2 linked regions of the Stegostoma tigrinum genome follow. The protein of the gene in region 1 interacts with the protein of each later gene in a biochemical or structural test. Links are inferred from orthologs where the notes say so. Each region holds a gene or a part of one and is shown on either strand. Other genes may lie near its edges. The genes, in order: voltage-dependent P/Q-type calcium channel subunit alpha-1A-like and cacnb4a.

Region 1 (16,631 bases):
CTTACGCTGATGTAACATTATTGTTATGACATGCTTCTTTCCTGCCAAATTTTAAATTTAATGTTGATCTCGCTCTTTGGGTATCTTTTCTGCAGCTACAACATTGTATTCTTTGCTCTGTTCCATTTACCTAATGCGCTTTGCATGGTATGATCTGCCTGTTCTTCATGCAAAACAAAATTTTTCACTATACCTAGGTATGTGACAGTAATAAATCAAATCAAATCAAAACCACCGTACAGCTACAAAACTTTGTGCACAAGCCTCCATTTAGAATATGACTGTCATCAAAACAGATCACAAGATCAATTATGAGGAAAGGTGCAAAAAGATCACGGTCAACCATTGCTTGCCACTGTATCAGGACCTGAACAATGTGAGGAATCCTAAAGATAAATATAGTTTAGAATATGACGTAAAAGGAAATAATGATCCTGACGCATGTGGTGAGGCTAAGTGAATGAGAACCAGACAGGATATGACAAACTAAAAAATGTGCTGGATGTGGAAATAAGAAGTGGAGAACAATGGAAGGAAGGAAACGAATAGTTGACTAATTTTGCTAGGAAGCTGGCGATTACAATCTAATATTATTATGAAGCTCCCCTCCCCTTGTGAGCTGACTCGTGGAATTCTTAGTGCTATTTCAATCTTTGAAGAGGTAACAAGTATGTTAGACCAGGGAAACCCAGTAGATGTTATCTATCTAGACTTCCAAAAGGCCTATGATATGGTGCCTCACAGGAGGCTGCTGAGCAAGGTGAAGGCCCATGGTGTTCGAGGTGAGCTACTGGCTTGGATTGAGGATTGGCTGTCTGACAGAAGGCAGAGAGTTGGGGTAAAAGGCTCTTTTTCAGAATGGCAACCAGTGACGAGTGGTGTCCCGCGGGATTCAGTGTTGGGGCCGCAGCTGTTCACCTTATATATTAATGATCTGGATGAAGGGACTGGGGGCATTCTGGCGAAGTTTGCCGATGATACGAAGATAGGTGGACAGGCAGGTAGTACTGAGGAGGTGGGGAAGCTGCAGAAAGATTTAGACAGTTTAGGAGAGTGGTCCAGGAAATGGCTGATGAAATTCAATGTGAGCAAATGTGAGGTTTTGCACTTTGGAAAAAAGAATACAGGCATGGACTATTTTCTAAATGGTGAGAAAATTCATAAAGCAGAAGTACAAAGGGATCTGGGAGTGTTGGTCCAGGGTTCTCTAAAAGTTAACTTGCAGGTAGAGTCCGTGATTAAGAAAGTGAATGTAATGTTGTCATTTATCTCAAGAGGGTTGGAATATAAAAGCAGTGATGTGCTTCTGAGACTTTATAAAGCTCTAGTTAGGCCCCATATAGAATACTGTGTTCAACTTTGGGCCCCACACCTCAGGAAGGACATACTAGCCCTGGAGAGTGTCCAGCAGAGATTCACATGGAAGAACCTTGGAATGGTAAGTTTAACGTGTGATGAACGGCTAAGGATCCTCGATTGTACTCATTAGAGTTTAGAAGTCTAATAGAAACTTACAAGATAATGTATGGCTTAGATAGGGTGGACTCTTGGGAAAATGTTTCCGTTAGGTGGGGAGACTAGGACCCGTGGGCACAGCCTTAAAATTAGAGGGGGTAAATTTAAAACGGAAATGAGACAACATTTCTTCAGCCAGAGAGTGGTGGGCTTGTGGAATTCGTTGCCACGGAGTGCGGTGGAGGCCGGGTCGTTAGATGCCTTCAAAGCAGAGATTGACAAATCATTGATCTCAAGGAATCAAGGCCTACGGGGAGAGTGCAGGGAAGTGGAGTTGAAATGCCCATCAGCCATGATTTAAATGGTGGAGTGGGCTTGATGGGCTGAATGGCCTTACTTCCACTCCTGTGTCTTAATCCTGGGCTGAGCACCTCCTCCTTGTTCAAAATTGATGTTTCAGAATAGAGGCCCTTTTCTGTCTCCTATGATGTAGTAATAGCTTCTTATAAAGGATCATTCATTGTACAATAAAGAGTGTTTCCTTGATTGTGTTGCATGTTAAGTGATAAAATTTTTGACTCGGTTAATCTAATATATACTGGTCATTTGTAAAAGTGCTGATCATAGCAGAATGTTTTGAGCATCTAAAGTTGTTCTTTAGGACTAAAATACGTAACACAAGACTTTTCATTCATATTTAAACATTTGTATGAACTCATCATTTTCTTCTGTTGAATATGTATTTCTTGGCATGATATTCGGGCGTAAAGACCAGCAAAGTTTCAGATTTGATTCCAATATGTACTGAATTTAAAAAAATAATAGATGGGGTGATATTATTAGGTATACAATTTAGTCTTTGTTTTTGGGAGAAGAAGTGTCCTGATCAGTGTTCTTGGACACCTTCTACAATAAAATGTGGGAAGAACAGCAGTTGAATTGAAATTGCTAAAATGTTCCTTCATGTCCAGATAGTCTGCTGATACTCCACCTATTTTTAATAAGATGTGATTCCTAATTGGATCAACTTGGGATCCGGTCTGGGATTGTAACAAGACGAATTGATCGTTCCTGATTTATAGCATCTGCAGTTCTTTCAGTTTTTATTTAAGATGAATTGAATGCTGAGTTCCATGCAGGAGGACTGAATACAATAATGAGTGGTAATGAGTATATAGTGATTAGTTCATAACTGAATTACTTTGCAAGATTTTCTTTTTAGCATATACATCTTTGAACAAGCCAATATAGATGGAATATTGGAGTCGTATGTAAGCTGCAGCATTGATTTATCAAGATTGCAGAGTGATGGGAGGATACACTTATGTTGAAACACTCAAATTCTTGCGGTATATTCAGTTATTTATGTTATGGACAGGTCTAAAAGGATTGTTCAAAATTATGCAAAGATTTTAAGGCAAACAGTGTAAGTTATATCAACTGATTTTATTTCCCTTTCATGGAATATGTGCAACACTTGTAAGGGCAGCATTTGTTGTTAACTCTTGGAGGCTTAGCAAACTACAGCAATGCTTCTTTATAATGCTGCCTCTGTGTATCAGGATGAAGAGATTGAATGCTTAAGGTGGGGAACAAATTAAGCAGGCTTTTGAGTTGCTTGTGTGGTTGGAACAGCATTTATCCAGGTAGGTAGGGAGTACTCTATCACTCTTTAACTTGTGCCTCACAGATGGCATACTAGTTTTGGGTAGTCAGGTGATGAGTTGCTTGTTTAAGAATTCCCAGATTCTGATCTGCTGTTATAGGCTGGTACAGTTAAATCACTGAACAATGGCTAATGCTAGGAAGATTCAGCAATGGTAATACCATTAAATGTCACTGGCAATGATAGGCTTTTGTGTTGTGGGAGGTGGTCACTGACATTTTCTGTTTTTTTTCCCAATATTAGTTGCCACTTATCAGCCCAAGGCTGAATATTGTACAGATCTTGCTGTGTATGGCTACAGACTGCTTCAGTGTCTGAGAAACTATAAATGGTAGTGAATGCTGCAATCTTAAATAGTCAAAAACATTTTTAACCTTTATTACAGAAGGAAAGTCATTGCTGAAGTAGCTGAAGATTTTTGAACTAAGGATACTACCCTGAAGAACCATTTGTGGTACGGTAGTTTTTTAAAATAATTCATTCACAGGGTGAAGGCATTGCTAGCCAGGCAGCATTTATTGCCCATCTGTAATTGCCCAGAGGGTAGTTTAGAGTCAACCACATTGCTGTGGATCAGGAGGCACATGCAGCTAAGTTTCCAGACCAGGTAAGAATGGCAGTTTTCTTCCCTAAAGGGCAATAGTGAATCATATGGGTTTTTCCAACAATAGATTCATGGTCATCATTAGACTCTTAATTCCAGATATGTATTGAATTCAAATTCCACTATGTGCCATTCCAGGATTTGAATCTGGCTCCCCAGAACATTATCAGGGTCTCTGGATTAACAGTCCAGTGATAATACCACTAGGCCATTGCCACTGAGTCAGGAGGCACAGATTCAAGTTCCAACTGCACCAGATGTGTAAAATGACATGTCTGAACAGGTTGATTAGAAAATATTTAACCTGAGGATTTCCTGAAATTGTGCTGGGATAATTGGCTTCCAACAAGCATAATCATGTTATTTTGACTTCAAAAAGTGGGGAGATTTTCCCGATTCCTATGACATAAATACTTTGCTGGTATTCAACTATTGGGCCATAAGATTATGTGCTTGATAACATCTGACAACAATTTATTGATACTGTCATTTTTTTCCTCTGTCTATAATAACCATCTCTGTAAAGTAGGCATCAATTGCAACCTATGGACATTCGTGATATGTGTTCACATTTATTAGGAACCGAATGCAGACTTCCCTTTTTACTTAAAAGATGCCTAGTAGAGAAGAGGCTTTCATCCTTTCAGCTAAGACTGAAATTGAATCTAAGTTCCATAAAAAAAACACTGCCCAATGTACCTTCACGTATTAAAAACATTGAGGTTAACTTTGTGAAATAAGTGTTCAGGTCATGTAGTTTTACGTATATACTAAGATACTATATATGTGTGTGTGTGTGTGTGTGTGTATATATATACATACACACACACACTATATATTGTAATTTTATCTAGATGACCTACATATCTAAACAGGTACGGGAAACTATTTCCACTCTTGAAAAGATCAACAATAAAATGGCACAGATGAAGTAATTGACAAAAAAAAGCAATACAAGATTTCCCCCCCCCACCCCACACAGTGCGTGGGTTAAGATTTGAAATGCGGTGCTTAAAAGTGTGGTAGAGGTAGGTTCAACTCTAGCATTCAGAGTGTTATCTGAAAATGAATAAGTGTAGCGTTAAGGCAGGAGAATGGCTTTAAGTGAATTCCTTAATTGGAGAGTTAGTGTACAAGACACAAACTGAACACTCACCTGTGCATTAGCAAGATACTAGCCAATTTTGTTCTGGTCGACATACTGATAGAAGCAATAGAAGACACAGTTCAGTAATCTTTTGACAGTTGAAGTGAAGGAGTTGTCCATTTATTAGCAAACAGTTGAAGGAATTAAGCTTAATACAACTTTCAGTTCTCTGTTCATTGTTTGCTTTCAGGCTGGAACTGAATCATGGATAAGTTTTCACTCAAAGGAAGATTCACTGATTGGAAAATATTCATGCAAAATTTTTACCTAGAACATTGTATAGGAGTTGTGAACGCTTGATAGGGTAAATTGTACATACTTTGTGGAGATGACTCACCCATTTTAGATGCATTTTACAGGACCTCCTTGTGGAGCTCCTCCAAGGTCTGGCCAGAGGGTTCACTAAACCTAAAATATTAACTCTGTTACAGTGCCAGACATGTGGAGTTCTTCCAGCAATTTCTGTTTTTGCTTTTCATTTCCAGCATCTGTAGTTCTAAAATAAACATGAATGTTGTGGGTAAAGGTAAAGGCTAGGAAGGCAGTTCAATAGTCTGTGTTCACAGGGTTTGCCGAGATGATTCTTTTGACTTGTCAGGATTTGTTAGCCCTTGATAGTCCTTCTGCAGGTACCTTTACTCGATTGCTGAAGGCACAGAGCAAATAGTTCATACATATAAAGTCTCAGACATTTTAGTTAAGATCTACAACTTGCAGCATCTTATGACCAGAAATAAACAGGCTTTCTTCAGGTTTAAGGTTATTTTTACTACAGAGTAAAGAACAGCACCTTCCTTTCCAGAGATCCAATGGCTTCTGACCATATCTTCACTGGCTCCCAAGTAGCTGAACAGCTTGTGCCAATCACATAATTATTGGCCGGCAGAAGCACTTTGTCATTGCCAACTGGTCATCAGTCCATTGATCAATCAACTACTTACTGCTGGTTGAATCTCATTTTGTGCTCATCATTACCTGTAAGTTCCCTTCCAAGCACTCACCATCCTTGGAAATAAATCACTGTTCCCTCACTGTCACTGAGTCAAAGTCCTGGAATTTCCTCCCTATTGGCATTGTGGGTCTGTCCACAGCATGTGGACGACAGCAGCTCAAGAAGGCATGTCAGTGTCACCTTCTCAAAGGCAACTAGTGTTGGGCATTAAATGCTTGTGATGCGCACATCTCACGAGTGAATTTTTAAAAAAGCAATCCCTAGATCCAGCTCATCTGTGTCTAAACCTACTGACTGAACAAACAGCAGTGTAAACAGCACTTACAATGAGTTTTCGTAACATTTTAAGAAGTGCAATAATCCTTTCCACAATTCTTCATTTTCAAAACAGACCTTTTCCTGTTTTATTTCACAATCAAAAATATAGCAAACTAAAGCTATGACATTTACAGTCATCAAAAGATTTGTGCACTGTAACTCTGAGAGATGGAATCCATGATAGATCCTGTTTCATGTTATAAGGTGATGTTCAGTTTCTGTTTTGCTCCTGGAATTTATCTTGATGCCTTTTATACTAGTTTATTCTGCTTGCTTTGATGGCTTTTCCTGGTAATTTATTTAAGCTCATTATTGACAGTTTTGTTTAATCAATATGAAGGCACTTTAAAAGTTCATGACTGAAGGGGAACTGAAGGAATTGTTGTACTTATTTAAATGGAAAGATTTTATGAATTGAAGATATTTCAGCACATAAAAAATATTACGAAAGAGTGGACATATTAAACAAGGCTTTAAAATTCCAAAACAATTTGTAATGTATAAAAAAGCAGAATATTAAATTTGGAAGAGGTATGTCAAAATCAAAGACATACATTTAACATTGAATAAATGATTGTACATAGAACGGGCTGTCAGATAAAGTACTTAGTGTGCAATTAAAATTCTTAAGAAGTTGGGTGAGTACCCCTCACCGTGATTAACAGGCCTCTCAATCATATATGATCCATCTCTCACAATTCAACCTTTACCCCTTCCTGTACCTGTTGAAATAACAATAGGGTTCCTCTTGTCCTCACTTTGTAAACCACCAGTTTCCATGTTCATCTTCTGCCATTTCTGCCACAGCAGGATACCACCACCAAAGATATCTTCCCCTCTCATCTACTACCAGTATTCTGCAGGGATAATTTCTTCTATGACATTTGGTCCACACGTCCATCACTCCTAACACTTCCTCACTCCTGCATGGCGCCTTACCATGCAATTGCAGCAGATGTAACACTTGTCCCTTCATCTCTCTCTTCATCCTACAACCAAATCTTTCAGGTAAGGTAGCATTCTGCGAGTTCAGTCTAATCTACCATATTCACTATTCACAATGTGGCCTCCTTTGCATTTATGAGACCAAATATAGTCTGTGTGAACACTTTGTGGAACTTTTCTGCTGCATTGGAGACAACCTTCCAGTTGCATGTCGTTTCTTTCAACCATCTTGCTACCATGCTAACTTTTCCACCCTTGGCCCTCTACAGTATTCCAATGAGATTTAACACAAGCTGGAGGAACAACCTCTGCTTAGGCTCTTTAAAGCCTGTAGAATTCAATACTGAGTTCCACAACTTCAGAGAATAGTCATTTTTTTCACATTCCCTACCCTCCCCTGGCTGTTCCTCTTTCATTTCACACTGAAAAGTCACACTGGACTCAAAATGTTAACTCTATTTCTCACTCTTCAAATGCTGCCAGACCTGCTGAGTTTCTCCAGCATTTTGTTTTGGTTTAGATACATACCACATTAAGGGGATGGGGCCGAGGGCTGAAAGTCAAAGGAAGAAAGGGATGATAGAATACCATATAAAACATATTTCTGAATGACTAAGAACGAGAAATATTGTGTCAAGGTACTGATTGAAATTAAGGTGCAGATGCAATTAAACAGTTTTGTTTATTGCTGAAAAACACATTTCATCAAAGCTTTTTATCTTGTACTCATCAGAACAGTTCACAAGGAATACCAAAGTAAAAGGAAAACAACATTTCTTCTGTATGAGACATCGAATGTTGTTTTGCTTTTAGTTTAGTATTTGAATGCACGATTAAAAGCTTCGACTTTACTCCAGTTATATCCCACCAAAGGACTATTAGACACAATGTTAGAGTGTTACCTTGCAAGCTTTAGAACTGATAAGAATTTCAGAGAGTACGGATCGAAATAGAAAAGCACCCTATTTCCACTAAATTCCTCGTACTGCTTTTCTTGGCATTATGAAATTTGAACCAGTGGAAGATTTATACTTAAAGACCAATAACTCGATCTGGCGTTTAGTCCATCAGGTAATGTTGCCGGTTGATATCTTAAGCAAATTTTGCTGCCGCATTCTCCGAAAACAGGGTGGACTTTACAAAAAAAGAAATTTTTTTTTGATTTTCCTCTCCCTGAGCTTTTTTGAATAAAATCAGATTTCGTTCCCTCATTGGGCAGTAGGAATCATGTGGCTAGCTTTGATGCTGTGGGCTGTTGGTTGGCTGCATAAATCTGATCAGATGCTTCCCATTGCTTACGCTTCACCAGTCGATCGGGTACTCGCAGTCCAGATCCTGATTAATATAAATACACGAGAGAGGACGAAAAATGTTCGGCGATGCAGTATCTGATGGAAACCGATGAAAGGCATGAGTAGATGGTGGATGTTTGCCTGGGAGGCTGTGTGGATTTTACTCTGGGATTCTACAGCTTTGAGATGCAGATGATGCAAAGGCGATCGAGGGAGTAAAAAAAACTGCAGATGCAAAAACGACGAGATCATATATTTGATTTTTGACACGAGGGGAAAATATTTCTTAAATCTACAAATGACCCAGTCTTATGAAGAATTAGCCACTGGACAATGAAAACCTAAGAAAAACAGGGCAAAAATCTAAACTAATTGCATGTGCACCAGTGTTGGAGCAGATGGGATGTAATGTGGAGTTGCCGTATTTATCTACTGAATGGTGATCTTTGGCATCTGTTTATAGAATGGCGAGATTTGGAGACGAGGTGCCGGCCAGGTATGGAGCCGGCCAAGGAGGCGGAGGACGCGGCGGCAGCCGTCAGGGCGGACCGCCAGGAGCACCTCAAAGGATGTACAAGCAGTCGATGGCCCAAAGAGCCCGGACCATGGCTCTCTACAATCCTATCCCAGTCCGACAAAACTGCTTCACAGTTAACAGATCTCTCTTTCTCTTCAGTGAAGACAACTTTGTAAGAAAATATGCCAAAAAGATCACTGAATGGCCATATCCTTTTTTTATTTTGTCTAATTTATTGATTATCTTTTAATACCTTACATGCAAGCAAATAGTGTAAATCGATTGATTAAAAAAATCAAAATGATGTGAATTTCACAGTAGAAAGTACATATGTCAGTCTCGCGGGCATAAATGATAGTACAATGTCAGTTCCACTCGTATAATGGTAGCATTTTCTGTGACTGGCCCTTCATGTAAATTGGATGGCGATTGCTTTGCCATTGCAGTGAGAGGACTATTTGCAAAAAAAAAACAAAATAAAACCAATCACTACCAAAAATGTTGCTATGCTTAAAAATTCCTCCACACTGTGATGCAGCCAATTTCACTTTAAGGATATATAAACAGCTATTTGCAGTTGAAAAAAAATGTTATTGGTACACCCCATCTGATCATAGCTTTAGAATAAATTTAAGAAACCTTTTATTTGGTGCATAATTGCATACTTTTATATTTGTAGTGAATCTGAGCTAGTTAAATGCCTGATGGGAGAAGGATGCATTAACTGGTGTTGCTGACGTGGGGCTGTACCTATTTTAAGGAACCATTCAGAGAGGTTGTGGTGATGAATAGGATTTTTTTTCATGCCTGTGCTCACTTGGTCACATGCACACCAATGAACACATGATCATCGGGATAAGATGCACAGATTGTTGAAAGTCTATACTGGTACCAAGTCCTAATCTGTTCCTTTTTCATGTCTTTATATCCACACACACTTAGCAGAAGAATTGAAAAGAAATGACAATGGGTACATGTGTCTTAGAATTTCTGGCACTGGGAATTCTAGGAATTGTTTAGGTTAATTCATCTTTTTTGATTTTAATCCATATTCTTTACTCATGTTCTGAAAAGTGTGTGTTCTGCATTTTTTTTTGGTGCAGCCTAGGTGCTAATGATTTTGTTTATGTAATACCAGCTCAAACTCCACTTGTGTAAGATTTTTATCCAGCTTTTAGACAATAGACAATAGGTGCTGGAGTAGGCCATTCAGCCCTTCGAGCCAGCACCACCATTCATTATGATCATGGCTGATCATCCACAATCAGTATCCTGTTCCTGCCTTATCCCCATAACTCTTGATTCCACTATCTTTAAGAGCTCTATCCATCTCTTTCTTGAAAGTATCCAGAGAGTTGGCCTCCATTGCCTTCTGGGGCAGAGCATTCCATATATCCACCACTCTCTGGGTGAAGAAGTTTTTCCTCAACTCTGTTCTAAATGGCCTACCCTTTATTTTTAAACTGTGTCCTCTGGTTCTGGACTCACCCATCAGCGGAAACATGCTTCCTGCCTCCAGAGTATCCAATCCCTTAATAATCTTATACGTCTCAATCAGATCTCCTCTCATCCTTCTAAACTGAAGAGTATACAAGCCCAGTCGCTCCAATCTTTCAACATATGATAGTCCCGCCATTCTGGGAATTGACCTTGTGAACCTACGCTGCACTCCCTCAATAGCAAGAGTGTCCTTCCTCAAATTTGGAGACCAAAACTGCACACAATACTCCAGGTGCAGTCTCACCAGGGCCCTGTACAGCTGCAGAAGGACCTCTTTGCTCCTATACTCAATTCCTCTTGTTATGAAGGCCAACATGCTATTAGCTTTCTTCACTGCCTGCTGTACCTGCATGGTTGCTTTCTTTTGCCAGTCATTTGAGCACTGTGAAAGAAAATAGACTGACTTTTTTTTAGGAAAAAATAACAAGCACATTTATTAGGAGAATTAATACCATATCCTATGTATACTGATTTATATCCAACGCTTACCTGACCTCTTCTGTGACTGCTGGTGTTGGTGCTGTGGAATACTAGAACCAAGCATTTCAGTTGCGGTATTACGTAGAGACTTTAATTTGCCCTATCTCAGAAGAGTAACCCCTTGCACATCTTCAAGATTTTGGTTCTTAAGGAAGTAGATTTAGACCATTAAACTGATTTCACGTAGGATATTTACAATCAAAAATAGAGGAAACTTTAATCTCTTCCACTCCCTTCCTAATGAAGGCTTAATTATTCTTAATGTTTCAGTGGCTGAATTTCTCAAGTGTTATCCTTGCAGTTCCATGTTTTTGTCGACATTAAGATCCTCCTCTGTAGTTGTTTGTATTTCTGCACCGCAGAGGATTAATTTTCAGATTTGATATTCCCCATTCCCCTATAAATACCTGTAGAACCTTATTTTCTGAGTCCTACTCCATTCCTTATACACCCTCCAGTACGCTGAGCAGTCTGCTTCTTGTGTGAGGTCCTGTTGTTACCAGTTTTGTTTTGGTTGCAGTGTGTTCACTCTCTGGGCCTCATTGCCCACATCTTTCTTAGTAAATGTACCCCCATCAGCCTCATGTTTCACATATTTCCAGACCTTTCTTGTCTTTTGAGATTCCCCCCGCCGCCCAGCATACCCCACTAACCACCACCATCATCTCTCCCATTAGATGTCCAGTTCCTAATCACTGACCTGTTGCAACTGTTATCACTTGTAAATGCCAAGTGCTGTAAATTTAAATTGTTCAATTTTTTGTGCATTGGCGTGAAGCTAACAGTATCAAATTATACTCAATCAGACATACCTCTGTTTCTGTTATTAGGTAGGTAACTAAGAGTTTTTTTTAATTCCATTGGATTACATAGTGAGGAACTGAAACAGGCTTTTTGTACATCGTGAGGAACTGAAACAGGCTTTTTGGCCCAACTAGTCCATGCTGTTCATTGCTTCACATGAGCCTCTTCCTATCTTACCTCACCTAAATATACCATTGTCATCATCTGTTTCCTTCACCATATAATCCTTGCCTAACTTGTCCTTAAATATACCTGTACTATTTGATTTACCACTCTAGTATTAAGAGTTTCTCCTTTTGTGCCACAGCATGATAGTTGTTTGTATGGTCTGTCACGATTTTAAAGTATATCAGAAGTTGTAATGCTCACGTTGCTGGAATTAATTGATGATATAGAAGAGCATGGATAACTTTTTCATTAGGCAAAATTTCAGTCTAACCTTAAAGGTATTATTAATTAAATATTTAGTTTGAGAAGCAACACTTATGGAGTACAATGGCATTGCTCAAGTTAAAGTTAATTATATGGTGGACTTTTGTGAGACACAGTAAAGTAAGTGGATAATGGAAAACAGCATGTCACCACGTGTGCTCACTTGTACAGATTTGCTGAAAAATGGAAACCAGTCAGAAAAGTTTGCTTTGCACACATATTAAAATTATGGTGTAAATTATATTCAGCATTATACAGATAAGAAATATATAAATTAGAAAATACATGTCATTTGTTTTGCAAAAGCTTTGTACAAACATAATGCACAACAATATTGTCCCTCTTGATACATTAATTCTAAATTACAATAGACAATAGGTGCAGGGGTAGGCCGTTCGGCCTTTCGAGCCAGCACCACCATTCATTTATGATCATGGCTGATCATCCACAATCAGTATCCTGTTCCTGCCTTATCCCCATAACCCTTGATTCCACTATCTTTAAGAGCTCTATCCACCTCTTTCTTGAAAGAATCCAGAGAGTTGGCCTCCACTGCCTTCTGGGGCAGAGCATTCCATATATCCACCACTCTCTGGATGAAGAAGTTTCTTCTCAACTCTGTTCTAAATGGCCTACCCCTTATTTTTAAACTGTGTCCTCTAGTTCTGGACTCTTTCCCCACCCCCCCAATCAACGGGAACATACTTCCTGCCTCCAGAGTGTCCAATCCCTTAATAATCTTATACGCCTCAATCAGATCCCCTCTCATCCTTCTAAACTCAAGTGTATACAAGCCCAGTCGCTCCAATCTTTCAACATATGATAGTCCCGCCATTCCGGGAATTGACCTTGTGAACCTATGCTGCACTCCCTCAATAGCAAGAGTGTCCTTCCTCAAATTTGGAGACCAAAACTGCACACAATACTCCAGGTGCAGTCTCACCAGGGCCCTGTACAGCTGCAGAAGGACCTCTTTGCACCTATACTCAATTCCTCTTGTTATGAAGGCCAGCATGCCATTAGCTTTCTTCACTGCCTGCTGTACGTTCTCTTATTGTATTTATCAAACCTAAAGATATCTAATTGCGTCATTTATATATTCATGTTGATGGGCTTTCTTGATTTTTCTTTTCTATTCCCACAGCTTTTTTACATTCTCTGCCTCTTTCATTTCCTAACTGTATTTTTGTACTCCCTAGAATTTTTTTTGTAGTGAATAATTTTCCAAGATTAACTTTTTTAATTTCATTAATTTTTGTTTTAGAAATTCCCTTGGAATATCTTAAAGTTTCTGTCCACAGAGAAGCTAAAATTCATAGTTGGATACAATTAACATCATAGAAAAAAGCGTAATTGGTTTATGTGATGTTTTATGCCCTTCTTGCCACACTTCTTCCTTTAGCCTTCATTTTGTATTCCTCTATTCCTTTTTCCTCCCTTAATTTATTTTCCCCTGCAATGTATCTCTAATACTTGCATCAGCATTCCATGCCATATCATTTTCTATATCCCATCACTGTCAAAAGGTTTACCTTGAATTCCTTGGATTTATTGGTGACCCTAAGTTTGGACATGGTTGTGGACTGGACCAGACCAAACCCCTTTCAGACATATCAAAGAGATAGCCTACATCCTAACTTTTACCTTCTTTAAGGTGCCGTGTTCTAGGTGTAATTTGGTTGGTACGCTACTCAATTTTAAGCAAAACATAGTTTATTCTTACTGCACAGTTAAAATACAAACAGTACAAAGAAGAATTTGTGTAACTTTAACTCTATTGGAAAACCGAAAAGAATAATAGATTATTTAACTACTAAGCAGCAGCTGCTCCAATATTAGTAACACCCTGTAAACACACCCTTGGCAAAGAAAATTCAGTAAAACAGATTCTCTCTCTGCTGCCAGAACTACATGTGAGACAGAGCTTCCATAGCCAACTTCAAAACTCAATAATTGCTGAAAGCTGAACTATAACCCCGGTTCTGTGGGAGCCTGACTCCACTCATTCATGCCACTTCTATTGTTTGAAATTAAATAAAAAGCCCCAAGGCTCCTCAAGCTGTTTACTTTATTGACTTGGAGGAAACAGCTCAATGCCTATTGTTGAAAACCTCTCTTCAAATAAAAGGACAAAATATATCTCTAAAAGCTGTAGTATCAACATAGCTCCACCCCCTTAAAAATGAACAGCCAATATACAAAGATGGTTTTCTTCTTATAAAAAATCTTTAGTCTTACACTGTTTGGTACACCACTGTACATAACCATTGATTCTAAGCACACAAACATTCAATAATACAGCTCATCTCAATCCCTTTCTTCCTCCACCGGACACCTTAATTTCCTTCAAAATAGTGACAATGCTTCGGCAATTGCATTCTCTCATCCTGCAGCATGTATAATTTTCACATTTAAATATCTGTAACAATAAACTCCATTATAAAGAGTATGCTATTTTTACCTTTTACATTTTTCCAAAAGTGTAAAAGGGTTATGATTAGTATATATTGATGAGTATATTAGTATTGGCAACATAAACGTTGAAATAAAAACAAAGTTGCTGGAAAAGCTCAGCAGGTCTGGTGGCATCTGTGGAGGAGAAAACAGAGATAATGTTTCGCGTCAGGTGTGACCCTTCCTCAGAACTTCTGTTTTCTCCTCCACAGATGCTGCCAGACCTGCTGACCTTTTCCAGGAACTTTGTTTTTGTTCTTGATTTACAGCATCTGCATTTCTTTTGGTTTTTATAAATGTTGCAATGCCAACACCAAACTGATGGTCTCTCTCAATTGTGAAGTATTCCTTTTGATGAATATTTAACTTACTGGAAAAATATCCAATAGGTCTTGCTATCTTCTCTTTGTCATCTTGGAAGAGTACACCACCATCACCCAAATCACTAGTGTTAATAGCCACTTTGAATAGCTTTGCATAATTAGGTATGGCTAATACTCGGGTGGTGGTTGGCACAGCTTTCAGGCTGCCAACTGCCTTGTGATAATCCTCTTGTCCACTGGAATTTCCTGCACTTCTTAGGAAGGCAGTCAGTGGAGCAACCATGCTCCTAAAGTTTGGTACTAAATTTCAATTAAAAAACTGCTCCGTCCAGGAATTGTAATACTTCCCTTTTCATCGATGGATGGGAAACTCCTGGATAACATTTGTTTTCATATCCGGTGGAGCCATTTGTTCATGTCCAATGACATTCCCAAGGAACGTGACTTGGGCTTTTATGAACTCATTCTTGGCCAGCTTTATCACCAAGCTCACCTTCTGAAGATGTTCGACCAATTGAGATGAATGCTGCAAATGTTCCTTCCATGTGTGACTAAAAATCACCAGATCAGCGATTTATACCATACAATTGGGTAATCCCACTGACCTTATTGGTTAGTCTTCAAAATGTTGCTGGTGCATTTTACATACCGAATGGTATGACTTTAAATTTGTCCACTCCATTTGGTGTTACAAAAGCTGAAATTTTCTTTGCTCCCGTGGATGAAGGTATCTGCCGGTATCCTTTGTGTAAGTCCAGCTTTGAAAAATAGGTTGCTTGTCCTAATTTCTCAATACGGTGTTCCAACCATGGAAATAGTAAATTCCCATTTGCCAGTATTTAGCCCATATCCCTCTAAACCTTTACTTATTCACATATCCATCCAGATGCCTTTTAACTGTAGTAATTGCACCAGCCTCCTCCACTTCCTCTGGCAGCTCACTTCTCACACACCCCACCCTCTACATGAAAAATCGTTCCTCTCTCACCTTCAACCTATGCCCTCTAGTTTTGGACTCCCCTACCCTAGGGAAAAGACCTCCCCTGTTCTTCCTATCCAACGCACCTCATGATTTTATAAAGTTCTATAAGGTTATCCCTTGGAGTCCGATGCTGCAAGGAAAGTAGCCCCAGCCTATTCGGCCTCTCCCTATAGCTCAATCCCTTCATTCCCAGCACCATCCTTGTAAATCTTTTCTGAACCCTTTCACGTTTCACAGTATGTTCAGCAGGGAGGCCAGAATTAGATGCAGTATTCCAAAAGTGTCCTAACTCATGCGCTGTACAGCTGCAACATCGCTTCCCAAGTCCAGCACTCCATGCACTGACCAATAAAGGCAAGCATACCAAACACCACCTTCATTACCTTGAGTGCAACTCCACCTTCAAGGAACTATGAACCTACACTTCAGGGTCATTTTGTTCTGCAACACTCCCTAGGACCTTAGCATTAAGTGTACAAGTCCTGCCCTGATTTGCCCTACCAAAATATAGCATCTCACATTTATCTAAATTAAACTCATCTGCAACTCGTCGGCCCATCTGATCATGGTCCTGTTGTACTCTGAAGTAACCTTCTTCGTTGTCCACCACACCTCTCCAATGTATCACTAAGCTAATAGTGTTACAATAGCTATCAATTATTTATATATTCTTATATTTTGCAACAACAGGCATATATATTTGAGATTTTGTAGCTGCAGAGTCTAATGACACAGAAGAAACTATGCAATCTACCCTTCC
Region 2 (16,376 bases), on another chromosome or scaffold:
ATATTGTGGTGCACAAAGATGGATCGCACCAAACACAAGCAAATGGATCTTTACTAAACACAGCATTGAGAGATCTTCCAAATGTTCTTCAGGAGGACCATCATGCTTCAGGTATCACATTAGTTCCACAACAAGAGGTATTAACAATCTGGAGAGCTGGCTTAAACTTACTTCCTTCATTAGGGTGGTCACCCAGTGAAAAGTCCAAACCATCTCCAAAATAGAAGCTTCACCCTGTCAGTTGTAAACCTAGCCAGGAGGTGTGCAATTATCATATGCCATGTGACTGCTAAGGTATGCCTTATTGAAACAAAGTTTTTTTTAATTAATCTCTTTAAAAGAAAATTCAGTTACTCACAACTCTTCCATCACCCGATCATTATACCCAAGGGCTTTCATGAGTTAAAACAATTTGGCTAAAAAGGCCCTTACTCATCTAAAATGGCTGCCGCAATCACCCGACCACAGACTGAGGCAAGTACAGGACACTCATGTATAATAAATAAAACTGTCGATAACTGAAATTATCATTTTATGCAAAGATATTAAATCCAGGCAATTAAGTTAGTGCCAAGAAATCCACAAGTATGATGATTTCATATATTTTACACTGGCTTCATGTTTGATAATTCTATTTACTTAATAGAGTCATAAAGTCTTGGAGTTGTACAGCATGGAAACAGACGCTCAGTCCAACTTGTCCGTGCCAACCACATTGTTTTAACACAGGTATAAGTTCTCAGGTATAATGATCAGGTGGTGGAAGGTGAAATTTGATAATCCATATTTGCCACTACCATAGCACTAAGTGAAATTCTCTTTTGGAGGGCTGGCACAGCCAAGATGGGCTGAATGACCTCCAATTGTGGTCATATTATGAAATAATTTGATCTGCTAAAGTTCTCGCTGGTCTTTTACGTTCTGTAAGCTACAGTCACTGCAAAAAAAAATAGTATTCTCATCCCCCTTACAATAAGCAATTGGTTTTTCCATTGTCCAATTACTCCATCTCATTTTCATTTTAGTTATTCTCGACTGACTTTTGCACAATTCCCAGCCCATGCTATTTTTGATTGATACTAGTCCTAAAATACCTTTCCTTAGCCTTTAGGCTAGCTTTGACCTCCTTATTTAGCCACTGGAGCCCTGCTCTTGAATTATTTTTCCCTTGTACTGTATCATAATCTTCTCAATCTGAACATGAAGCCCCTGGCAAAGAATGTAAACATTAACACCATAATTATAGTCCAAGGATTTCAAACCTTTCTGTGTGGGTGATACCCTTCAAATTTGAATGCATTTCCGGATATTATTGTAAAGACGGCTTTCCACAGGAACCTAAGACCATAAGTAGGTCACTCAACTCCTTCAGTCTGGTCCATCGTCCAGTAAGAACATTGATTATTTACAATTTAATTCCATTTACCAGCCTGTTTTACATATTTCTTGATATATTTGTTTGCAAAATTTAAATTGTACTCCTTTCTGGGGAAAAGACTTCCAGACTTTTTTTGATTTTTTTTGAAACATTGCCTCCTGATTACATTCCCTATTGGCCTTGCCTTATTTTCAAGATTCTGGCCGATTGTTCTAGATTCTCTCTCTCAAAGAATTACTGCCTCTGCTCTATCAATTCCCTTTATTACTTTAAACACTTTGACAATGTCACTCTTCAGTCTTCTATGCTCAAGGAATAAGGCCAATCCATCCACCCTTCTCCTACCAACCCCCCAGTCTCACAGATAGGTCTCACTGCCTGAAGTGAAGTCTAGAGGATGGAATCTCATATGGGTCTGAGCGATGTGGCGTACTGTGTGATGTGTGGCAGAATCAGGTAATAAAGCTCGTCTCAACATGAAGATCACCATACTTCAGCTTATATGCTTTTCAAAAGAAAAGTGGTTAGTTTCTTGTTGGGGAACAGCGAGATACCAACTGACGCTAACTATTGATTGTTAAGTGAATTGTTAATACAACTCACCTTCTGATTATTCAGACTCCTTTCGGAATTGGGTGAGTCACTAAATAAGATAGATGCTTAGGAAAGTACAGACCATGTACCTGGTGGATTCCGCTCAGCACTTGCTCTAAACGACTTCCATCTTCGGCACAGGGAAGCAACTGCTCAGGGGACAGTTCATGGGCAGAGCTGCATGCACCCTTCATCTTCAGACAGTGGCATCTGGTACCTGCCAACACATCATGGCCATCATGGCACCTCCCCGATACACTGGCAGGACACTCATGAGGTGCAGCCCTGCACTGCAGGGCACAGTGAGAGCTAGCATTGAGAAGGCTGCAGCAGGGATACTTGTTTCGCATGGACAAGAATCCAGTAGGACCAGGTTGCATTTCAGAGCTGCTCACTTGTTTTGTTAGCACTCAATCATTTTATGCCCACATGCATCCTTGCACCATCTACGCCTTGCCTTACCATTCCATGCTATGCCTGTTAGATTAAATTAGATTAGATTAGATTCCCCACAGTGTGGAAACAGGCCCTTCAGCCCAGCAAGTCTACACTGCCCCTTGAAGCAGCCCACCCAGGCCCATTCTCCTATATCCCACACGTCCCTGAACACTATGGGCAATTTAGCATGGCCAATCCAGCTAGCCTGCACATCTTTGGACTGTGGGAGGAAACTGGAGCACCCGGAGGAAACCCACGCAGACACAGGGAGAATGTGCAAACTCCGCACAGTTACCCGAGGCTGGAATCAAACCTGGGCCCCTGGCGCTATGAGGCTGCAGTGCTAACCACTGAGCCACCATGCCGCTACCTAGACATAGGTACTTGAGCCAGAGCAAAAGGTTGCCATCACTGATGTTCTTGGGGGAACTTTATCACAAATACAAGCATTGCACACTGAGACAGCAATGTAACACCCACAGACTGGTGGGGGCTAGTCCCTAGTTGTTAAGTGGGTGGTACTGTCTGACAGGAGGGTGCCAGTAACATCAGTTACAAGTTTAGTCCACACACAATAGTGGCTCACTTACAGTCAGTCATCCATCTGGAATGCTCAAAATCTGGGGATTTGTCCTGAATCAGTTCGGGAAGTGTTCAGTGGCCAATCTTATCGGACCAATACAAGCTCTCAGGGGAATCGCATATTATTACTTGGGGAGGTGCAAAAACACAGCATCATGGTCTGTCAGTCATGTCTAGGGGCTGATCATCAAAGCTGGGCAAAGATCTGGTACAAATACATATTTGATATTCCTGAAGTGCTCAGAGATAATGATCTGCAAGGCAGTGCAGGATAGGAAGGGACAAAATGCGCAAGCATTAGAAAGCAGCAATAGAATGGGTCATGAGGGAAAAAGGCAACATCAATGCCTCTTTACTGAAATTCACATAGTATTTAGAATAAAATAAATGGCTCAAATACAGGTTAATGGGTAGGACCTTATAGCCAATACATGGTTACAAGCAGATCAAATTTGGGAACTAAATATACAGTCATGGGTGATTTTTTAAAAGGTCAGGCAAGAAGGGAAGGTGGAGGGTTAAATGTGTTAATAAAAGATGACAATTAGTGTGATAACAAGAAATTATGTTGGATTGGACGTGGAGGAGAACAGGGGAAGAGGGCACTTGTGGGAATTGTCTACAGGCACTAATAGTAGCTGTACAGTTGAAATAAGCACAAATCATGAAATAATGAGGCATGTGAAAAAGGCAGTACACTCATCATGGATGACTTTAATCTTAATGTAAACTGGGAAAAGCGAATTGGCAAAGGTTGCCACGAGGAAGAATGCATATAGTGTATGCAGAACTGTTTCCTGAAAGAATTTTTTGTAGAAACATAAAAGCATAGAAACTAAGTGCAGAAGTAGATCATTCGGCCCTTCGAACCTGCTCCACCATTCAATATTATCATGGCTATTCCTCTTTCTCAATGCCATATTCCTACTCCCTCCCAAAACCTTCGACACTTTTAAAATCTGAAAAAGTAACTATATCTTTCTTAAATATAGTCAGTGGCTTAGCTTCCCCAGGCTTCTGAGTAGAGAATTCCGCTATCTTTGGAGTGAATAAAGATTTCCTTGCCTCAGTACTAAATTGTCTACCCTGAATCCTGAGTCAGGGTCCCTTGATTCTAGGCTCCCTGACTAGGGGAAACATCCTCCCTGTGTCTGCTTTGTCCATCCTGTTAGAACTTCATATGTTTCAAAATTAGATTCCCTCTGATCCTTCAAAATTCTAGTGAATACAGGCCTCGTCTAAGCAATCTCTCCTCATGGGACTATCCTGCTATCCCTGGTATCAGCCTAGTGAACCACCACTGCATTCCATCTATGGCAATCATATCCCTTCTTAGGTAGGGAGGCTACAGCTGCATATTTTAACTGTGGTCTCACTAAGTCCCTGTGTAGCTGCAGTAGGACATCCCTCTTGCTGAACTCAAACCTCTTGCAGTACAGGCTCATATATCATTTGACTTCCTAATTGCTGGCTGCACCTGCCTGCCTACTTTCATTGACTGGTGTACAAAGACACCCAGATTCCTTTGTATATGCCCATTTCTCAATATATCACCATTTAATTCACACACTTCCTTTCTGTTTTTCACACAGAAGTGTATAATTTAGCTACATGATCCCTCTGGGGAGTTTTGGCACATCCAACCCAAGAAGTAATTTATTTTGGGTCTGGTGCTGTGTGATAAATGATCTCAGAGTAAGCGATCAGTCGGGGAACAGTGGCCATAACATGGCAGAGTTTAGAATTAATTTTGATAGTGAGAGACTTGGGGTCTGAAACAACTGTACAAAACTTAAATAAGGGTAATTACATAGGGACGAGAGCTGGGGTTCACCAGAGAGAACTCATAAAGGAGTTTATCAGAAAAAAACAATGTTGAGGGGCAAAGGTAAAATTTTAAGAAAATAGTTCATGAATCACAGCAAAAATATAAATTAGTGCTGAAAATGGACACTAAGGAGGGGATAAATAACTAGGGAAGCTAAGGATAATATTAAAAAACATGCAATGTGGCAAAGATTGGTGGTAAATCAGTGTCAGCGAGACAGTCTGACAGTGCTGGTCTGCAACAGTACTTATATTTAAAAATCTAACGCATTGGCTATGAGTGATATGGAGCTTCTCCAAGATGTGATAAATCATTATATTGATACGGATTCTTATGCACTGAAAATGTTATGATGTCCTACTGGAGACCATACAACGTCGGAGCAGAAGTAGGCCATTCAGCCCACTGAGTCTGTTCCACCATTCGATGAGATCATGGCTGATCTGATAATCCTCAACTCCACTTTCCTGTCTTTCCCCTTCAGCCCTTGATTCCCTTACTGATTAAAATCTATCTATCTTCACGATTCTGATATTCCTCTCAAACCACTTATTCCATTCTGTTATAAGTCATATTTCACACAGATTTAAGAGTCAATAAACACAATAGACACCACATAGATTTCACAAAATATTTAACTATCCTCTGAATTACATAAATCAATATTCTATGAACTTTTTTCAGAGTTCTTTATTTGGAGTTAGATAGTGTACTTTGGCATTTGGCACATGATTGCCCAGCTCAGCACTGCAGTGCCATGCTATACATTGAATGAGATGGATTAGAATAATTACTAAAACATTCTCTCTACATTAGAAAACTATCACTCAAAATCTATAAAAAAACAGAATGCATGGGATTACTGCTGAGACACAGATTCCAGATGAAATGAGCAGTGACATCTAGTGACAAATGTACTCAGGAGTTGCTGGTAGTATTCATCATCACTCAAACATGATCTCCCTGTTTATGACTAGTAAATCAAACAATCCAGTTTGCACTCCCTTAAACAGCTTGACGCATTTTTTCAGCTGGTGATCTCGTGAGGACAGGCACTTTCCATTTTTAATCCTAGCTTGTTTAATATGCCCTTTATATAAATGCAACAGAGGAGAAAATGCATGAGCTAACAACTTCACATTGATTTCCAGCATTTCAATGATATGAAACAAATATTAGATCTTTCACCCTAGATCTTTCAAATGCAGCAACGCAAAAGCGAGTCCCATACCTTAACTTTCAACAAAGCTGTACCAGTCACCAAAAGATAACCTTGACATCAGTGCATAATTGCTGCATAGTAACTGAAAAAAAATGTTAGCAAGTTTACCAAAGAGAGGAACATGCAGACACCTGCAACATTTTGGCTAAGAGGTAAGATAGGCTGTTGTGATTTTCTTTGAGTGGAAGAGGCTGAAGAGAGTTTTCATTGAGTTGCATGAAATTACGATAGGCCTCTACAGACTGGGTTGGAAATCCCAATGTCCAGCTATTAGTCTATACATTTTGGTACCTTAAGTGCAAAATCAATTTTTTGCAGTGATAGGCCTCTACAGACTTAAGAATTATAGAATCCCTGCAGTGTGGAAGCAGGCCATTTGGCCCATCAAGTCTACACTGACCCTCAAAACAGCATCCCACACAGACCCCCAAAATCCCTCAGCAGAGAAGTCAATAACTGGTGTTGTGTGAGGCAGACCCAGAACCATTAGGGAGCAGTGGAGGACATTTTTTGTTCACTCAGTGAGTGGTGGAGATCTCAAATTCACTGCCTGAAAGGGTGTTAAAGTTGAAGTCTTCACTGCAAAAAATTGATTTTGCACTTAAGGTACCAAAATGTATAGACTAATAGCTGGACATTGAGATAAGACTGGATAGCTCTTTTTCAATCAGCACAAAACTGTGCTTTATCATTTAATGATCAGTTGTTATGACACAGAAGGAGGCTATGGTCCATCGTGCCTGCACCAACTCGTCAAATGAGCAATTTTAACCGCATGTTAATCTGCTGCTTTTCCCCATACCCCTGCATGCTATTTTATTTTAAATAGTCATCCAATGCCCTTTTAATGCTGCAAGTGAAACTGCCTCGATCACATTTCCAGGCACTATATTCCATACCCTAACTGCTCGCTGTGCGCAGGTTTTTCTAACATCACCTTTGCTGCTTTCACACATCACTTTAAATCTATGTCTTCTATTACAAGCAGAGCAACTTAAGAATTATAGAATCCCTATAGTGTGGAAGCAGGCCATTTGGCTCATCAAGTCTACACTGACCCTCAAAACAGCATCCCACACAGAACCCCAACTCCCCACCCCTGTAACCCTGCATTTCCCATGGCTAACCCAACTGGAATGCACATGCATTAACCCTAAGGGCAATTCAGTGTAGCCAATTCCACTTAACCTGCACATCTTTGGACTGTGGAACGAAACTGGAGCACTGACAGGAAACCCATGCGGACACAGGGAGGATGTGCAAACTCCACACAGGCAGTCACTCAAGGCTGGAATTGAACCTGGGTCCCTGTCACGTGAGGTAGCAGGGCTAACCACTGAGCCACTATGCCACCCTACTCTACCCAGGCTGTATATTTTTACACAAAGTAAATGTGGTATCCCATTCCAGAATCTTGAGAGTTCAGTGTCATGTATGAAAATCCTGCATGAATGATGATCACAGACCTTTGATAACCTGCAGCTCCCATTGCATCAAGCTGGCAAGCAACTCAACTTGGTCCTAATTAGCCATTTATTTCTTTCCAATTTTCTGTGGTAAATTTTGCATATCTCTCTTCTGAAGTCACTGATTTCTTGTTGAAGTTTTGTCCTGCAGGTACTTTCCTGCTCAGTAGAAATGTCGTTCTTCCTTTGTGATCTTCAACATTGCATACTTGTGGACATTCTAAAGGTAGCAATGCTGTAACACTTGAGAGTTATCATCACCTGGTACTAATAAGTGTAGTGATCAGAAGAAAAACTCTGGCTAAGGTTCGTGTTCCTAAATTAAAGCACAATGACCAACTCCATGGCCTCTATTAGATCTATTTAAATTTCAAATATGGAATATAGAACAACAAAGAACTTACAGCAAACTGGACCACAATTATCCTTATGTTACAAATGGACACCCTTTTATCCTATTTCACACAATAATCCTCATGTTGTTTTGATAGTCATTGAAAAGAAATCCTATGAATTCATTCTAGCGGCTGAAAACATTTTGGAATACTGCATTCAACTCTTCTCTCCCTGCTCTTAGAAGAGTGTTGTTAAACTTGAAAGGGTACACAAAATATTTGCAAGGATGTTGCCAGGGTGGGAGGGTTTGAGCCATGGGGAGGGGCTGAATAGGTTGTGGCTATTTTCCCTGGAGCATCAGAGGCTAAGGGAGTGACTTTTTAGAGGTTTATAAAATCATGGTGGTTATGGATAGGATCAATAGCTGAGGCCTTTTTCCCAGGATATGGGAGTCCAAAACTAAAGGGCATTTACTTAAGAGATAATGGGAACTACAGATGCTGGAGAATTCCAAGATAATAAAATGTGGGGCTGGATGAACACAGCAGGCCAAGCAGCATCTCAGGAGCACAAAAGCTGACGTTTCGGGCCTGGACCCTTCATCAGAGAGGGCATTTACTTAAGATGAGAGGGGCAAGATATTAAAGGGGCCTAAGTGGCAATTTTTTCATGCAGAGAGTTGTGCGTGTATGGAATGAGCTGCCAGAGGAGGTGGTCGAGGCTAGTACAATCACAACATTTAAAAGGCATCTGGATGGATACGTGAATAAGAAGGCTTAGAGGGATATGGGCCAAATGCTTGCAAATAGAACTAGATTAATTTAAGGTAACTGGTTGGCATGGACAAGTTGGACCAATTGTCTATTTCTGAGCTGTACGTGTCTATGACTGTCTGACTCTACGCTTTCAGGAGTTTAGACAAAAGAGAGGTGAATGCAATGAAATGTTCAAGACCATAAGTTAGACTGACAGATGCTGGCAGCTGTTTTTTCCTGACCTAGCAATAGAGAACTAGGAACAGAGCCTAAAAGCAAGGGGCCAATTGTTTAAAACTGAGATGAGGTGCAATAGCTTCACTGAAAGGGCTCTGAATCTGTTGAATTCACTAACTCAGAGGGTTGTGCATGTATCAATACATGCACCAATATTCTTAAGGCTGCGAATAGGCATGTCTCAAGTCTCTCAGGGATGTGGAGGTGGATTGCGAACGTGAAACTGAAACCAAAGTGATGATCAGCGATGGTCATAGAGTCTTTTAAGAAAGGAAGGTATGTTTATGTCAATCTTACCTGAATAGGGAGGTGAAGGCCTAGTGGTCATGGTAGGCAACTAATCCAATGACCCAAACCCTGAGATCTGGTTTTGAATCCTGCAGTGGTAGGTGAATTCAACTCTTTAAAAAAAAGGAATTAAGGATCCCATGATGATTGTTTGGGGGTTAAAAAAAATTCACTAATGTCCTTGAGGGAAGGAAACTGCCATCTTTACACGGTCTGGCCCACATGTGACTCCAGACCCAGAGCAATGTGTTTGACTTTTAAGCAAATTCTGGGCAATTAGGGATGGACAATAAACACGGATCCAGTCGGTGGAGTGCACACTCTGTGAATGAAAATGAGGAAAAAAATCTGGGCCAGATGTGACTCCGGATTCTTAACTACCCCGTGAAATGACCTAGCAAGCTACTCAGTTCGGGGACAATTGGAGGTGGATAATAAATGCTGGCCTCAGTGGCAACCGCGTCAATATGGGAATGCATAAATTCAAATTAAAAAAAAGTGAACGCCGGTTTTCTCCTGCTCGTCGTGTTGTTTTGAAGCGCCGACACTGGGGTTCTGAAAAGTTCAGAAACTGGCACAATCGCTTTCTGTTATTGTATCATTGCTGTATATGCAGATACTGTCCCTGGAAAGATCAACTGGTGTCACCGTCCTGAAATGGAATAAAGTAGCTTCATTTTTTCCCCAAAAAAAAACAAAACCAGAAATCGCCGGAAAAGCACAGCAGGTCTGACAGCTTCTGTGGCGAGAAATCAGAATGAACGCTTCGAATGGAGTGACCGTTCCTCTGTAGGTAGCGGGGGGGGGGGGGGATGGATTTTAAATCCACGCCAGGGATAGTTCAGGAAATGCACAGCCATGTGTCAAACATTGTGCACCTGAGCACTGCCGAGGCGCTGAGATTATTTAATCTGCACTTCTCTATAATAAAGACTCGTGGTAATAATTACAAACATGATGACCTGCCACTCGTAATTCTTCCTGGCGGTGCAAATGATCCAAAAAAACGATGCGTTTGCTGCAGTCGTTAGATTGGGACGTCTTTCGCACAGGAGGAAAAAAAAGGCTGTAATTTCCCCGCCAGCTCCCCGAAGGTGAACAGCCCTGACTGTACAAACTGCGTTGAACACACCAGGCACATCTCCGCGGACAGGAGGCCAGATTGCACAAGGTCATTCTTCCCAGCCCGGTTCCTAATTTTCCTCGCTGCATTACTGACCCCTCCTCCTGTCATCCCTCCCCCTCCCTAGGCGGATATATTTCTCGCCCCGGTTTCCTCCTATAATTCCTGACACCTTCCTGACTGGCTGCAGGGGGCTGTGGGGGTGGTGAGGGCAGCTACGGCCGTGCCTGGGACTGAGTGAATTCCTGAGGGGGAGGGGTGGGAGGTGTAGGGATCAGACGGTGGGTACGGTAACTCACCCCTCCCTCTTCCATCAGCCAGACAGCACGTCTCGATGGCCAGCTCCAGCGGCTAGTGAGAGCCACCAGGGGCTGGAGTAGCGCCAGCTCGATGGACTGGATCCCTCATTCCAGCTAAAGCAGCTCCAGCAGCGTCCCGAGCTCATGATCTATCTGAAGATGTCCGGAGTTGGACCTTTATTCACCAAAGACATTCCAGGCGATGGGCTACAGCCGCCCATCTTTCAGGTAAGGGATTGCCTCAAATTATTAACCTCTGAGGAAGGGTCACTCGACCCAAAACCTTAATTCTGATTCCTGTCTGCAGATGCTGCCAGATCCGCTGAGCTCTTCCAGCAATTTCTGTTTGCGTTTCTGAAATTGTTAGGGGGGGGGGGGGTTGACAGGCTCCTTTCTCCTGCACGCCAATTTGTGATTTATTTTGCATGACCGTAGCCTAAACAGGAGCGTGAACTGATGTTGAAATAATCAAAAAAGTGCTACTTTTAATTATTCCATTCCGTGAGCACGCTCAGATAAGGAATGCAACTTCTCTTTTTCTAAGGTTTCCCCTCTCATTGTAAAGAGAAACTTTTTTTGCAAATTAATTCTGTAAGGCTGATTCCTTTTTATTAGAAAAGACAGTTCATTTTTTCTAACGCGTTGTATGTTATTGCTACGGCCCACTGATTCAATGTTATATGATTTGACAGTTAAATCGAGCAGCAATTCATTCACGTATCCCCTTTCTCTTCCCTCCTCCCATGTTCGGCAAGTTGACCCGGGTGAACAGGAGGAGGAGCAGGTTGAAACGTTCCGATGGAAGCACATCGTCCGAGACAACTTCCACCAGCTTCATTCTCCGACAGGTAGGGCACGATAGATGTTTTCCAATCAACCTTTCCTGAGGAGGCGGAACTTGAGCCCTGATCCCCTGGACGAGAGGTAGGGACGTTACCACTGTGTATCAGGGGACCTAAGCAAAGACTAGGATTCTTCTCCCTGCACTTCGTGGACTTCGTCAGCAGAAAATCCTCGGTAAATGCTCATGACAGCGATTCCTGAACTTTTGAACCCATTAATTAAAAGTACTACCACCGTGACATTGCAGCTTTGTGACACTTGATAGCCTATTTAGCCCTGAAGAAATTTAAATATGGCACAATTTATATTTTTTGATAAGGAGATATATTGACTTTGCCAGCACGTTCTATTTTCTTTCCATTAAAGCCTTTTATTTAAATCTGAGAAAGCTGTTATAATATAAATTGGGTCTAATTAGCATTATCCATTAGTGTCATCACTAATAGCATAATGATTACAAGCTTGAAGAAGGGTTTCGGATTTAGAGATGTGACTTTGTTGATTGATAGAGATAATTTTGACTCTCAATGAGTTGCCAGAGGAAGTGGTGGAGACAGGTACAACTACACTATTTAAAAGGCATCTGGATGTATATATGAAGCAGAAGGGTTTAGAAGGATATGGGCTACATGCTGGCAATTGGGACAGGATTAATTTAGGATATATGGTCAGCATGAATGAGTGGACCGAAGCGTCTGTTTCCAAGCTATACTGCTGTATGACTCTACTATGACTTGAAGGTTGTGAGTTGGGGATAGGAGGCGTTTGTGGGCAGCTAGGAGCGGTGGTGATTTTTTGTTTCAGATTCCCTTTGATTGGCTTAATGTCATGACTAAACGCAAAAGGTCGAAAAGTGGATGACCCCATTTACAACCGTCTGAAATGAGTATTGCCAAAAAAAAGTTATGCCAGACAGGAACACTCTGGAATGAGCTTCTCTGCTCTAACAACTGTAATGTTCCAGATTAAGAAATGTTGCTGCTGCTCTACGTTCAGATCAAGAATCTATACTGAATATACTTGTGTCACTAAGCTGTGACATGCCTAGAGTTTAGTATGTTACCACCCTCATGATTCCATGCTGCTGGGCAGATTGAGAAAATGACATTTGTGAAAATGAATATTTTTATTCATTCATGGGATGTCAGTGAAATTGTCAGCATTTACTGCTTATCCTGAGTTCCTCTTGAACTGATGATGTGATTAGACGCTAAAATAAAGTGGATTACAATCTACAACAGTTGTGTTAGAGATGTACTGCGTTTTTAAACACATACACAACTTTGAATGAAAATCACAGAAGCATTCTTCACATTTATGTTTTGCTATATTGTGCACAAGTGCAAATCTTTAATCATAATGTTTATTTAAAATTTTTTTTTATTGATGAACACATTTATATAGCATCTAATCATGTCATCAGTGATGTCACAGAGCTCTCAGGTAATCTGTACCATATTTACTACTGTAAAGGTGAGATGCAGCAGCCATTTTGCGCAGAGCAATACTCCACCAACAACAATAAGGCAAATTAGCAATTAATCTATTTATGGTAGCTTTGGGTGAGGAAGCAACATCAGAAATGGCATTGGGAGGGTTTGGTGGTTCTTTCTGATTAGCAGTATCAATCTTTAATATCTGTCTGAGGGCCTTGGTTTCACAATGCATTCAAATGGTAGGAGCTCTGGCAAAACACCACTGTTCAGCTATCAAGCTGAATTATACATTGAAGACTTGGTCTGATGCAGTCATAAGATGATTCTCCTTGGCCATCAATGCTACATTGTGATGGAAGAAATCTGCATTCAAATTATTGAACTCAGCAATTGCAACAATTCCATGCACTGTATCCACTCACTTTGATACTTTGAACCTGAAAACTCCCATTTGAGTGATTATGGTATTATAGGCTAAAGAAAACTTATTACATGTATGTACATAGTTTTGAATTATATTTATGAAGATTCAGACAATGGGTGAGGGCAGTGCTGTGGATGTTGTGTATTGGACTTTCAGAAAGCATTTGGTATCATGCCACATGGCAGTTTGGTTAACAAATTTAAAAATGTTTGGGATTAATGTGTCTTTGACAGCATGGATTAGTTGTTGGGTAACGGATGATAAGTAGAGATGGCCATTTCTCAGATTGGAGACAAATTCAAAGTGGTGCTTCCCCGATATTGGTGTTGGGACCCTTGCCTTTTTTGATTTATGCGAACGATTTGGAGATGGATGTTGAGGGCAAAATCTCTAATTTTGCAAATGATACTAAGCTAGAGAGAATAGTGAATTGTGAGGATGATGCTGACTGACTTTAGAGGGACATTGTCAAGTTGGGCTAAATGACCTCGCAGATTTCAATGCGATGAAATGCGAGGTAATGCATTTTGATTGAAGAAACATGGTGCGAGAATACAGGCTCAGTGATACAACTTTGAAGGGAGTACAGGGGTAGAGGTTCATGTGCGCAATTCTCTGAATCTTGGCCAAGCAATTTGAAACCGTTCATAAAAAGCTTATAGGCTTCAGTATATAAATAGAGGCATAGCATATAAGTAGCACTACACATTTACAAATCATTGGTCAGATCACTTTCGGAGTTTTGTTTTTAGCTTTGGGCACCTGGAAGGATGCTCAAGCCTTGGAGAAAGTTCAAAGGTAAGTAAAGAATAAGAGGTGATTTTATTGAGGAGTTCAAGATCATGTGCAATTTTGACAGGGTGAAGAGGGTTATTCTGTTTCCACTAGTTGGTATGTCAGTGACTAGGGATCACAATTTCAAGATTGTCAGCAGGAGGAGCTAGGAGGAGAAACTTTTTTTCTCAGAGAGATTTTAGGATTTGGAATGCACAGTCAGGGAGAGTAGTGGAGGTGGATTCTATAGGAGGATTCAGAAGAGAGCTGGATACATATTTGAAAGTAATGACTTTAGAGGACCACGAACATAGGGCTGGAGAATGGGACTAGTTGGGTAGCTCTTGAGGAGCAGTGCAAACATGATGGGTCAAATGGCCTCCTTCTGTACTGTACAATTCTATGATTCTATTAATTTAAAAGCTGTTTCATATTCTGTATGCTCTCAGTAGCTAAAATTAGGTCTTAGAGTAGGCAAGCAAACCAATGATGTAGATGAGAGGATTATTAAGATTTAAAACATATCTTAATATCACATGTTTTCCTTATTCAATTCATGAAGCTGCTGTCTTCCTGTCATTTTTCTGTTGATGCTCATTATTAATTATGGCCCTATGATCATTTTGTAGATGATAGCTATTCAACTTCTAAGGAGATATGCTGAACATATAGAATGGATATCCAATTGATTGAAGTGTTGCTTTGTGCTGTCAGAAATAGCAACTGCCCCTTTAATGAAATTACTCACTTTTGCATTGGTTGTGGTGAATCTGAAGATAGAGATCCTTAAACATGTTGCCATTTGTATAGGTGCAAATTTCAAATTGACTTTGAGCTTGGGAAATTCAATTTAGACACAATGGGATATCACCAGAGAGGTTCTTATAAGTATATTGTGGGGGAACCTTGTTATGACCAGGTGACAAGAAGTGAGAATAGGCACTTTCAAAAGAAGTCCTTGAGATGATAGGTTTTGATATGAGACCACACTTGTTTCATTGTGTCTTCAGCAGAGGCAAAATTTGTAGATGACAATGTGATCATGGTGATTGGATGTTTCTTTTTTGTGGTAAAAATGGACTAACAAATTTCATCTTCCATCATGTGATTTTAATATCTGGGACGGGGAGAAGGAAAATTAATTGATCACAGTATAACTGGAAGACTCTGTCTCTCACTGCATTTCTTTCAACCTATCAGAAAACAGCACACGTGTTCTCTGTCCAAAAACTCTCGCCTGACATACAATTCTGATGTATATTTCTGTGTATTTCTATTACCTCTAGAAAGGTATGAACTGACGAGGAGGTATAGCGCTCAGTTTCAATGCCTTTTTATAACAATGTTGACTGATTCTTACAGATGGAGTGTGCTCAAACTGATTAGGTCACCACTGTGATGGTCTTATTTCAGTATTTTCCCTTTCTAAAAGAATTCACAGTTCACAGGAGGTCCCAGGTATTAAAAATCAGATGATATAAGTTAAAATACGTTAGTCAATTTTTATCACTAGCATAATAATCTAAGCAATGAAACGAGTAGCGTGATGAGAAAAGTAATACAGTAGCTAATGGAAAAGTCAAAGAAAGAAAGACTTCTATTATTTCATTCCCATTTCCACCTTTCATGATCATGAACATTCCAACATGTTTCATAACCAACAAAGTACTCCTGGCGTGTATTACTGCTATTGTTTAGGAAATGTAACAGCCAAATAGTAATCTCGCACAGATACTGATATGACAATTGAAATAACTCCATAAAGGCCAGTGTCTTGTCACCAAGTCATCCTTTATTTACACATAACACTGACTCAACAAGCACACTGCTGGCTCCTAGTGTGAACAGAACCCTTGACATCCCTGTTTACACAGAGTCATAGAGATGTACAGCATGGAAACAGACCCCTTTGATCCAACTTGTCCATGCCGACCAGATATCCTAAATATACCTAGTCCCATTTGCCAATATTTGGCCCATGTCCCTCTATACACCACCTATTTATCTATCCACCCAGATGCCTTTTAAATATTGTAACTGTATCAGCCTCCATCTCTTTCTGTGGCAGCTCATTCCATACATGCACTATGCTCTGTGTGAAAAGTTGCTTCTTAGATCCCTTCTAAAGCTTTCCCCTCTCACCTAAAACCTCTAGTTTTGGACTCCCCCACCTTGGGGAAAAGACCTTGTCTGTTCACCTGATCCATGACCCTCATGATTTTATAAATCTCGATAAGGTCACCCCTCAGCCTCCACTTCTGCAGGGAAAATAGCCTCAGCCTGCCCCTATAGTTCAAACCCTCCAAATCTGGCAACATCATTGTAAATCTTTTCTGAATCCTTTCAAGTTTCA

Evidence for each region.
Region 2: the proteins of voltage-dependent P/Q-type calcium channel subunit alpha-1A-like (region 1) and cacnb4a form a complex in vitro, tested with the Homo sapiens proteins (2 studies listed by BioGRID). The link is inferred for Stegostoma tigrinum from reciprocal best matches to the Homo sapiens genes CACNA1A and CACNB4.

The regions. Positions count from the first base shown.
Region 1 is NC_081388.1:22,036,353-22,052,983, reverse strand, and holds the start of voltage-dependent P/Q-type calcium channel subunit alpha-1A-like, read left to right. Parts: upstream 1-8,393; 5' UTR 8,394-8,843; coding exon 8,844-9,103; intron 9,104-16,631.
Region 2 is NC_081360.1:87,469,062-87,485,437, reverse strand, and holds the start of cacnb4a (voltage-dependent L-type calcium channel subunit beta-4a), read left to right. Parts: upstream 1-10,490; 5' UTR 10,491-10,690; coding exon 10,691-10,774; intron 10,775-11,301; coding exon 11,302-11,394; intron 11,395-16,376. UniProt on the Homo sapiens protein: The beta subunit of voltage-dependent calcium channels contributes to the function of the calcium channel by increasing peak calcium current, shifting the voltage dependencies of activation and inactivation, modulating G protein inhibition and controlling the alpha-1 subunit membrane targeting.